Linked DNA regions of Danio rerio. The protein of the gene in region 1 purifies or fractionates together with the protein of each later gene. This does not show direct contact. Links are inferred from orthologs where the notes say so. Each region holds a gene or a part of one and is shown in the gene's direction. Other genes may lie near its edges.

Region 1 (6,003 bases):
TAGCTTGAGTCTTTTATAGGGCCAAACAGAATGTGCATATGTTTTTTACTATTTCTGCACAAAATTTTGTTAAAAAATTAAATAAAAAAAACGGATTAATGTAGGATAATTTTGGGAGAAACATAACACATTTTAATCTATTATTTAATTTACAATGCAATTCCAATTAGACCCACTTATTTGGTAAACAAAGCAAGTTTCTCATATAAAATATCAAATAAAAATAAAACTGAATAAATATAAGTTTACGCATATTTACATAAGTAAATAAATAGACTCGATGTGCTAAAAAATTTTGCACATGCAGATTTAGTGTGTGGCACTACCTCATTAGTTAAATTATTAACAGATTATTGCACTGGATATAAATACAGCTATTATTATTTATTATTATTATGGACTTTTTTTGTCTAGTTGCAATATAACTTCTTGTTCTTCTTGCCATATAGTAATTGTTTATTCTGTTTTCTTATTTTAGTGTCCAACCTTGACCATGTAGTTCTGGATGAGGATCACTCGGGTTCAAGGAGGTTGCAGAATCTCTGGAGGTGCGAGTACTGCACTAATCACACACTTTCACATTCCTGAAAATAACGTCATTTTAGTTACCTGTTTTTTATCTTTTTAGAGATTCTCGTGAGGAAGCTCTGGGGGAGTATTACATGAGGAAATATGCCAAGTCTTCAGGAGGCGAACAGTAAGTTCAACTGCTCTCAAATCTACCATCTGTCATCTGTCATGAAAGTTGGCAATCGCATGTGTTGGAATTAAAGGAATGCTGGTTTACTGCGTTGGCCTCTCTGCTGGTAGTATTAGCTTCAAATGTCAAGCCAAGCTCCGCCCATGAAACGTGGATTATTACAAATACAGCAAAGAAATTCGCTTTTCTAGAACAAAAAAAAACTTTCACTTCCAGTCATCTCAGTCTAAATGACATTTATGTAGAAATGCATCATCAAAGTAATGAATAAATCTCTGAACGAAGCCTACATACTACATTCATGCATTACTATTACATACCTGTATTGCTGACAGATCATTAAAGATATTGATGATGTTGTAAAAGTTTCAAAGATGTTTGTGAATGAATGATGTGTGATTGTGTGATGGCTGGGCTGTTTCCACACACTTAAACAAAATGTGATTGGTTGGTCAACCTGTCAGTCAAAAAGCATAAAGTAAAGTCCTTGACCATTCAAAGCAGACAAAGTGTCCAGACCTTCAGCCACTATTCTGGTGCTGATTACTAAATCTTTTTGCTCTGTCTTTTCTCTCAGCTTCTATGGTGGCTCTGAGGATCTTTCTGATGACATCACACAGCAACAATTGCTTCCTGGGGTCAAGTATGAAGAAAATCTTATTTATTGATCATTAGACATGCTGAATTAAGTGGACTTGTGTTCAATAGTTTTTTCCCCCGGTTTTATTCAGGGATCCTAATTTGTGGACTGTTAAGTGTAAGGTTAGTACTGGATATGCTTATGATTAATGGGGTTAATGGGTGACTTAATGAGGTTACAGTATGTGCAAGGTTTAATTAATCTGTTTTTTGTCTTTATTTGCAGATTGGAGAGGAGAGAGCAACTGCAATTTCCTTGATGCGAAAATTCGTTGCTTATCAGTGCACTGACACGGTATGTTTTCCATAGTTTCTCTCTCTTCTTTAGACCCATTTAGTTTGTCAAGAAAGTGTAAGTGCCATGGTTGGTGAATATCCGATTCACACAATCTCAGCCATTGGTATATAAGACACAAACTGTACAATCTTCATCCGAGCTTAATAAAGATAGGAGATTAACTCCCCATTTTGTGTATTTAACTGGGGCCTCATACATGAAACATTACATCATGAAAATGTACTTGAAAGTCTTGGAAAAGTCATGGAATTTTAGTAGTAAAAATCTACTCCTTACAATCTTATACCGACCCATGCCTACGATAGATATTAAAGAAATGCTACAGAGTGGAGAGGATATTTAGCATACACATATTTGTATTAACTTTGTGCTTTGTTTCTTTGTACAGCCACTTCAAATCAAATCAGTAGTTGCCCCTGAACATGTCAAAGGTTATATCTATGTGGAGGCGTACAAGCAGACCCATGTCAAGGCTGCCATTGAGGGTGTGGGAAACCTGCGCATGGGCTTCTGGAACCAGCAGATGGTGCCCATTAAAGAGATGACAGATGTGCTGAAAGTGGTTAAGGAAGTTACTAACCTTAAACCCAAGTCTTGGGTTCGTCTCAAGAGAGGCCTTTATAAAGATGACATTGCCCAGGTGAGTACTTGGACATATAGATTATGTATCTGAAAAGGAGTCCCTGTTGTTGATACTGTAATGTGTTCTGGAAATAATTATTAGGTTTGTTAGTCATACAGCTCTGCTTATGTCTGTGATAAACCTTTGATCTGTGTTTTTTTATTTATCTTTTTCAGGTGGACTATGTTGAACCTAGTCAGAACACGATTTCGTTGAAAATGATTCCTCGTATTGACCTGGATCGTATCAAAGCAAGGATGAGTATGGTAAGGTTCTCAATTTTTACAAAAACAGCACAATATATCTTAATATTTTAAAAAAGGTCAAAAATCTTACCTCATGTCAAATCAGCATATTAGAATGATTTCTTAAGGATCACTGAAGATAGGAGATTTATAGGCTGATTTACACTTTCACCTGGATCTGCAGTGTGAGCCTCAACTAAATGCGAGTGCACAGCAAGAAGGGTATACAATGGAGGTCAGAGCCAGCTCCAAGTGGGTGGGACTTGAGCTCCAGTAATGCTGTACAAACCTTCTGGAGTTTTCATTGATTTTACTAGTGGCATAAGTCCCCTCCACTTAGAGGTCTCTCTAGGCTGCAGCCATACCTACTTGCTCACAGCTGCAAGTTGTGAAGGCTTTTATGCTTGATGTGTTAGCTGTTGTACTAATATTTGCAACAATAGGGGGTGACTTGTAGTATCTGTCCTGATGAAACAGTAGTAAAGAAGAAGTCAGTGAGTGGAGTTGCAAAATGAATTAATTTAACTATATATGAAACTAATCAGTTGTGGATAATTTTGGTGGACTCTTGGAAAATGTTTGCTTTTAGTACAGATGAGGAAGTGAGTAACTTGAGCTGCATATATAGACAAGCTGACTGCATACTTAAGGCAAATCCTTTATGTGGTAAAAAATAATAAGCTATTGACAACCAGTGCACAAAATATATGCATTGGTTTAACTCTAAGCTTACACATCAGACAGTGATTTTTGGTTTTCTAAAAGTGTTACACATGCACATTCACCTAGATTGGCCAGACTTGGCTCCAAGTCCGGCATCTTCAGATTACAAGTTACAAAAAAGGTGTTTCACTCTGTCAGCTATAATTATGCAGAGCGCACCCAAAGTGAACATCTGCAAACACCACGATGATATCACATTTGCCGCCCATACCCTAGTGAATTACAGATGTTATATTGAGTGTAAACCAGCCTTAATGATCCTGAAAATTCAGCTTTGTTATTTGAGTAATAAATTACATGGTAAAATATATTAAAATGAACTGCTTTTACAATAATATAGTTTATACGGTTATAGTGCATTTGTAACCAAATAAATTCACCTTAAAAAGATAGTCTATATACATCTTTTATTTACATCTTCTATATTAATCTTTTAGTGATCTGACTCCAGCTTTATTGTTCATCTTACAGAAAGACTGGTTTGCAAAGAGAAAGAAGTTCAAGAGGCCCCCACAGAGGCTTTTTGATGCTGAAAAGATCAGGTGATGTGATTGTAAGCCTCATAATCAAACCCGCTTAAATGCATTATGTGTACTGACACACATGCATCTCTCTTTTTTTATTTTTATTTTATTTTATTTCCCACAGGTCTCTTGGTGGTGAGGTCAGCCATGATGGTGATTTCATGATATTTGAAGCGAACCGCTACAGCAGAAAGGGTTTCCTGTTCAAAAGCTTTGCCATGTCTGCTGTGGTAAGAGCCCTGGGAGCGCTTTCTAGTTCTATCTTATTGCTCCTTATTGGTTCACTTTTTCAACTCCTGTTTGTTTGCATAGATCACAGAAGGGGTGAAGCCCACTCTGTCCGAGCTGGAGAAGTTTGAAGACCAGCCAGAGGGCATTGACCTTGAAGTAGTCACAGAGACAACAGGTGAAGACATCTATATATAAAAAAAAAACAATTACATGTGACATACAGTATTTAAATATACAGCTTTCTTAGTAGGCTAGCAAATATAATTTTTAAATTATTAATTAGATTTAATTTATTTACTGTACAAACTATGGTTTGTACTTGCCAGTAAAAAAACTTGCCAGTAAAACACTCTTCAATATAATCTGTAGTTTTTAGTGCTGTTGTATCCAAAATACCTTTTTCCAAATCAGGGTATTCGCGGGGTCTTAAAAAGTTATAAAATGTCTTACATTTCAAAAACAAAAAAATTTAGGGCACAAAAAGTCTCAAATTCTGTCTTAATTAATTTTAAATGAGTCTTAATTTTCCTGTCCACGTCAAGCTACCCAATCGGGCCAACACGCATCCAGTTACCAAAATTATCAATAGAACTATGTCAATATAACTCAATAGAAAATGTCAATAGAACTTTTAAACTTTTTTTGTAAATCTGTCTTTATTTACCTACAGTATATGATTTAATTATCGTCATTTACAGTAATATTTGTTTTAAAGTTCTCTGTATTTAAAGTCCATATATGGTGTGGACACTAACCTGGACAGACTGGTTGTGCTTGCATTTTTAAGATTTTTTAAATTTCTTTTTAAGATGGGTTGTGTTTAAAAATATGTATAGGGTTTGCTTGTTTTGACAGTTTATTCAAATAGGTGGCTAAGAAATAACTAATTATAATATAATATAAAAAAGTCCTGTATAAGTCTGAAATTTCATTCATAATGGTCTTAAAAATGTCTTAATTTAAGACTGAAACCTGCAGAAACCCTGCAAATATATTTACATTTATACCCTAGAAACAACACCCACACAGAATGTTTAATGCTACATTCAAGTCATATAAATATTTATGTGTTGAAAGTACATGAATGATGGTGTGTCTGTGAGAATACATGTCCAGTGCAATGGATGCAGTGTCTGTTTTGACAGTAAATTATAATGTAGTTGGTCTTTTACACTACAACCCTATATGTGGCATCTATAAAATTGTGTACAGTAATGATTGCAAATATAAACGTTAAATTTTTAATATCAAATCACCACAACAGTTCTTCCTATTTTTAACACTCTTTATTTCTTCTATTTGTAACTCCCGCAATAACAGACAGGGGTCTTTATATACCCTCAAAAAGCCCACACTAGCACACACATTCTCCTTACACATGCGCAGGTCATAAAACATAACAAATAACATCACCTTAAATATTTTATAAACATAAAAAGGAACATTTTGTATTTTTAGTAAAACTACTAAGACATTTTTTAGAGAAGGTACTTTACTGCTTGAAAACATCAGATGTCACAATTAACTCATAAATACAATCTTCCCAGGATTATTTGAAATTTGAACACCATCCAACTATTTATTGAGCAATCTTTGTGAATTAAACAGCTATCTTTCTTTTTTTTTTTTTGGCAGGTAAGGAGCGAGAACACAATCTCCAGGCGGGAGATAATGTGGAGGTGTGTGAAGGGGAGTTGATCAACCTTCAGGGCAAAATCTTGAGTGTGGATGGCAACAAAATCACCATCATGCCCAAGCACGAGGACCTCAAGGTGAAGAAATCGGCACAAGCTGCAGTGTGAATGAAAAGTCAATCATGTTCACCTGATCCTATTAACCTACCGTGAAATGTGTTTAAACATCCTGAAAATCTCATTCTGCATAATGAATCCTTTTTACACTGATTATCTACTTACTGTCCTGACTTCTTTTAGGATCCTCTTGAGTTTCCAGCTCATGAGTTGCGGAAGTATTTTCGTATGGGTGACCATGTGAAGGTCATCGCGGGGCGTTATGAAGGG
Region 2 (6,003 bases), on another chromosome or scaffold:
GTTTGAGAAAGACTTTTTTTTTTATAAATAATTATATTATAAACAGAATACATTTCTTAGAATATTTCACAATATTGTTGCTCTACAGTGTTTCTGAAAATGTAAGTATTATTAAATACTTCATTTCAGAGTACAAATTACTGTAGTATTGTAACCAGTGTTGGGTAAGTTACTTTAAAAAAAGTAATCGATTACAAATGACTGTCTACTACTGAAAGATTGTAATCTGATTACATTACTAAATACTTAATGTAAAAAGTAATCAGATTACTAATTACTTTACTATGAAGTTACTTTTAAAACATAAAATATACCTATAAAAATACAAAATAAAGTTTTTTAATAGTCATTTAATAAAACATTCATTTAATAATCACTGAAAAACATTGCAATGCGTTGATCACAGCTGCTTGACATATTCAAAAGACTTAGAGTTCACCCAAAACTTAAAATTCTCTCATCATTCACTTGTTCCACTCCTGTATGCCTCTTTTTTTTAACACAAAAGACATTTAGAAGAAAACTGGATACCTGTAACCGTTGACATCCGTAGTATGAAAAAGCACTGCAGTGTTTTAGCTGTTGTGATTGTCTGAGGGAATTAGTCTACTGAAATGTGTATGTTCCATACAAAATATGAAGCTGACCGTTCAGTTCTTGTCACGTGACTTGCTGTTTTTAACTGGCAAAAGACGTGATATGTGAACAACCCGATAAGCAGCTACGCTTCACTTCACATTCAGAAGATACCTTTATTCCCGATCCTGCACAAAAATCTAATTTAGCCTGTTTAGACTGAGTTGGGCCGCCGAGTTTTTGGGCGAGTATTGTCAAAGAATGCAATATAATCTATTCAGGTACTTGAACAAGTTGCTGGTGGAGTTAAAAGCAGTCAAAAGAGACTGAATTTAGACTATTTCACAGCAATATATTTGTTTTTACACTCAATAAAATAAAAAAATGTCTATATTTCCACTTAAAGCAACTACTCTTGACAGCAATTTAAAAGCACATGCTTATTAACTGATGTTGCAGCAGAAAGTGTGATTTAAAAGAAGCACTTTTTTCCTTCTAAAAATTCTATTTGTAACGCAATTACATTGACTTTAGTAACTGTAATCATTACACAAATTTAAAATGTAATTCGTTACATCACTGCGTTCCTCAAATATAATTAGAATACAGTAACAGTTACTCCCAACTCTGATTGTAACTAACTTACTGTAAATTTAGCCTTTCTGAGTTTCTAACAGAAAAAATATCTTATTACCCAAACCTTTTATCTTAATACGTAATAGTAAAAATGAATTTCATTACTTCTTTCAGCGCCGCTGAAGGGAATTCCCAAAGCACCATTCCGCAGCCCCACCACCCCAAGCATGTTCAGCCCTCCCAGTAACAGAACCCCCATCGCCCCTGCCCGCACACCCCTACGTAAGGAGAGAGGTGTCAAGGTAACTGTCCTCCAATCACCTTTTATAAAGTCACTGAACAACGTTAATAAATCTCAGTAGCTTTTACTCTCTATTAAATGCTTAAAAGCAAACTTTGTGTGTGACATTTGGTTTTACAAACTGAATTTGGTTTCTGAGTAGGGATGGTATGTTTTTATATGCTTTATACTGTTAGCTCATGTGATTGTATTCTTCTTTCTGCAGTTGTTGGATATATCAGAGTTGGATATGGTAGGAGCTGGTAGAGAAGCTAAGAGGAGAAGAAAGACTCTGGGTAAGTTCAAGAAGATTTAATGACATGAGATCTTTTCGCACTGTTTAACATCAGCTTATCATCATTCTCAATGGTGCTTTTAAAACACCACGTTTGTTTACAAGCTTAATTTACAAGCTTTGGATATTATATCAAAAACAATCAGGCATTGTCAAAAATGTATAATGTGTAAACCGGTTGTGTGTTACATTTGTCCAGTCAGTGATGCCGACACTGCAAATATGCAAATAGTGACATTAACCCATGGTTCAGGATTATACAGTATTGTTTGCTTATAAATACTCAAAAAATGTTTTGGTGGAATTTTTACTCTATATCACTACTAATTAATTGTGTTTTTGTGAATATAATTTATGTGTGTTCTTCAGACACAGAAGCTGGAGAAAAGGCAGCCAAAGAAGAGGCGGTGGTGGAAAACGCCACACCAGACTACGCAGCTGGCCTGGTTTCCACACAGGTAGCTTTTGAAATCAGCCATAAGAGTGACACTTTGAAAGCTGATCAGACCAGAACTCTAATTTCACCTCATTTCAACAGAAACTTGGGGCGCTAAACAATGAGAGTGCCCTGCCATCAACCAGTTACCTTCCCGCCACTCCCAGCATGGTTCCTTCATCGTCTTATATTCCCAGCTCAGAGACGCAGCCAGGTGAGCCACTGAGAGATGCAGGTGTGAGGGTTGCAAGAATAAATTTAAACAGTACAGTTAGATACAACAGCTAATCAGATGTTTAAGGTCATAGATGTTTGACAATCTCAACCGAAATATAATGAGAGGGTAGGACATAATGTAACCCCTCTCCTTTTTATAAAACAGCCAATAGTTTGTCACAGCTCTGCCAGTGAGAGTACTTGAGCCCAAGTGCATTAAACATGAAGCGTCTTGAAGGGGTCGAGGGCATGTCAGATACTAGAGAGCATTTGATTGGTCACTATTTGATGAGAAACTGAAGTATGAGGTCATGTGAAAAAAAACTGTTCATCTATTTAGAAGGAAGTGATAAACTACAATCTGTTTATCTTCTAACCGCAAATTTTGTCACTGGAGAACACTAGCTTATAGATATCCTTAAAACTAACAATACTTATACTAACATGTAAAAAAATATTTTTTAATTTCAATTCTTTAATAAAAAGCCAGTTTACAGTCTCATTAACAATCTTTTTTCTGTCTTTGCTTTGGAATAACCAGCGAACGCAGGTGGTTCAGGACGTGAAACTACAAACCGACAGTCGGAGGAGTCGGCTGCCCCAAGTGCCGCTGCCGCTTCACTACCTGGCCAGTTCAAACAGCGGCCGCCTATGTATAATGCCAGCACTGCCAGTCCCACCGCGCCCACTTCACCCACCACGCCAACCAGCACGCCCACAAACAATGGCCCGCCCCCTGCCGCCACAGCAGCACAGCCGGACATGCCCACACAGCCGCCCACCACTGCAGCTCAGCCTGCACCCACGCCAGCACCCCCACAGACACAACCCAAAAAGAACCTCTCGCTCACGGTAACTGATTTCAGTTATATGATGATAATGCTTTACTGGACTGTCCTGCTTTTGATCATACCAGATAGGGTTTTTTTTTGTTTGTTTTTAAATGAGTAAAATAGTATAAATTCTATCAATTATAAACCTTTTTCTTAAAACGCAAAATTACCCATTATGCTTTGCATGTATGCGTAAGGAGGATGCTAATAACTTCCAGTCGGCAGCTTGATGCGTATAAACGGTCACATTCAGACAGCTTAAAAATTATAGTTTTAATCCATTTTACTTGCTTTTAGCATCTTTGAACTAATACTGCTGTTGACAAAAAAATACTGCCTCCTGGACTGAAAAATGCGATCTAATGGGATGGAAAAACAACATTTTGTGAGTCGTTTACCATTTCCGTCAGGCGGCATCTTGAGCATTTAAAAGAGCATCGTCATTGCTAAAGTAAACATTTTCTCTTTTCAAATGTATAACCAAGCCAAACAAACGCAGTTCACTAAAATGTTTGACACACACTTTGTTCTGTTCCACTAACACACAGGTGTCAAACTCAGTCCCAAAAGGGCCACAGCTCTGCACAGTTTAGTTTCAACCCTAATTAAACACACCTGATCAAACTAATTGAGTCCTTCAGGCTTGTTTGAAACCTACAGGTAAGCGTGTTGGAGCAGGGTTGGAACTAAAATGTGCAGGGCTTTGGCCCTCCAGGAATTGAGTTTGACACCCCTGCACTAACACATTGATTTAACAAGTGGCACAAAGTTAAAACAAAGTGATGTTTGAAATGACAGAAAAACATACCATGGTAAATATTACACTACACAAACTACCAAAATGAAACATAAACAGCTCCCGATTATAATCAACATGCAAATCAGCCAGCAGAGTATCAGTCATGTACTTTTATTTTTTGGAAATTGCTTAGCTGAAGGTTACCTACCTGTTGCATTTCATGCCAGTAATATGTTTTGCTCTATAATGCACCGCAACTGACAGCACCATAATGGCTTAAACAGGCCAAAATCGAAGTTCTGAATCACAAAAACACTCCGTAAGCCACTCAAAACGGTATTGACAATCATTTTTGGATCAAGATTTTCCAATTGTAAACGCTGTAAAAGGAAATTCTAAGCACCCTACTGGAAGATGCTGGTTGATATGGCGCATGTTCCATGTAGCAAGAGAAAAAGGTCTATAATACCTAAAGATTTAAATATTTATTGTAATGTTTAATATACATTGTTTATGGTCACCATGGCTGCATTTATTTAGCCAAACATTTAAAAAAAAAAGAGTGATGTCTCGTGTTGACTGTTTACATTTCAGGAGCCACTACTTGGTATTCATTGTCACATGGTCATTCAAGTGTCATTTTAATGTGTTACCACAATGTGCAGTTTAATAGAAGCATGAATGTTTTAACTTCTTTAAAAATGAACTTTATTTCCCTCAAATCATTTGAATGGTAGTGTATGGTGACAATCTGTAAACTCTTATGCTGCATTGTTTTGCCCACAGAGGGAACAGATGTATGCTGCACAAGAAATGTTCAAGACTGCAAACAAAGTCACACGGCCCGAAAAAGCCCTCATTCTGGGCTTCATGGCTGGATCACGAGGTATTTTGGTTGTGATTTCGTCCAGTTTTGTGAATGAGTTGACAACCCTATGGTTCCTCTTTTTTTAATTGTCATATTTCTCATCGTCTCTACAGAAAACCCCTGTCCAGAGCAGGGTGACATCATTCAGATCAAGCTGAGCGAGCACACAGAAGTTCTGCCTAAAGCGGACGGGACCGGCAGCACGACCATGCTGGTGGACACAGTGTTTGAGATGAACTACTCTACTGGGCAATGGACCCGCCTCAAGAAATACAAACCCATTACCAACGTCTCCTGAGGAAGTCTGGGTTAACCAGTACACATACACACACACTCGCTCAGCGCAATTACATGGATGCATATGTATGCATTCACACCCCTCTTCAACATCACCTGAGGAAGTGCTGATAAACACAATCATGTACATGCGCTGGAATGTACATATTTATGGGCCAAATTCTGAGGTATTGGGAATATGCGCTAGTGAATCTCTGGATGTTGGGTTTCAGACAGTTGGGAAAAAAGACTTCCTGTTTGGTTGACCTCATGTCCTATCTCTGTTCCTGCGTTGCCAAAGACAGGGACCCTCTTGTAAGACAGATGTTTTCTTTATCTTTTTGTTAATGTTTGTATCGTTTCTTCTTTTTAGGCCCATTTCAGATTTCATGAGGTGGGGCTTGTTAGTTTGTCTTAACCTACTATTGATTGACACGTTATTAAGAGATCTTAAAAGGGTACAAACATGCTATTACGGTGTCCCACGAATGAAACGAGAATCTGTTCCTGTGTTTTCAAAATCAGAATGTTTAAAAATGTTTTCAAGTTCCTCCTCAGAAGGGAAGAAAAAAAAAATGAAAACAATAAACAGTGTAAAACAAAGTTATGTAAACATTTTTTTTTTAAAAGAGAGAAAAAATGAAAACATCCTGATTTGAATAAGTCATTTGCTTAAGACTTAGTTCACATATTACTGGTTAATTCATTGAACAACCATTTTAATGATCATTTTCAATGCGGGAATAACTTCAAAATAGGGCTGTGTGATTTGGGAACAATATCTAATTGCAATATTTTTGACAGATATTGTGATTGCGATTTGATTTATAATTTAATTCAAGCTTCTGCTTGATGATCTGTAAGCCGTGACAACAATTCTGCAACAGCTCTTCAAAATGATCTGTTTA

Evidence for each region. The genes of interacting proteins can lie anywhere in the genome.
Region 2: the proteins of supt5h (region 1) and nelfa purify together in Homo sapiens (affinity purification with mass spectrometry; 3 studies listed by BioGRID and IntAct, with this or other methods). This does not show direct contact. The link is inferred for Danio rerio from reciprocal best matches to the Homo sapiens genes SUPT5H and NELFA.

What each region holds. Positions count from the first base shown.
Region 1 is NC_133190.1:22,857,064-22,863,066, forward strand, and holds part of supt5h (transcription elongation factor SPT5), read left to right. Parts: intron 1-478; coding exon 479-548; intron 549-628; coding exon 629-697; intron 698-1,277; coding exon 1,278-1,343; intron 1,344-1,431; coding exon 1,432-1,462; intron 1,463-1,565; coding exon 1,566-1,634; intron 1,635-2,025; coding exon 2,026-2,277; intron 2,278-2,435; coding exon 2,436-2,525; intron 2,526-3,698; coding exon 3,699-3,769; intron 3,770-3,875; coding exon 3,876-3,981; intron 3,982-4,063; coding exon 4,064-4,157; intron 4,158-5,617; coding exon 5,618-5,754; intron 5,755-5,916; coding exon 5,917-6,003. UniProt on the Homo sapiens protein: Component of the DRB sensitivity-inducing factor complex (DSIF complex), which regulates mRNA processing and transcription elongation by RNA polymerase II.
Region 2 is NC_133182.1:24,484,789-24,490,791, forward strand, and holds the end of nelfa (negative elongation factor A), read left to right. Parts: intron 1-1,326; coding exon 1,327-1,454; intron 1,455-1,658; coding exon 1,659-1,728; intron 1,729-2,096; coding exon 2,097-2,185; intron 2,186-2,265; coding exon 2,266-2,377; intron 2,378-2,920; coding exon 2,921-3,231; intron 3,232-4,737; coding exon 4,738-4,837; intron 4,838-4,932; coding exon 4,933-5,117; 3' UTR 5,118-5,701; downstream 5,702-6,003. UniProt on the Homo sapiens protein: Essential component of the NELF complex, a complex that negatively regulates the elongation of transcription by RNA polymerase II.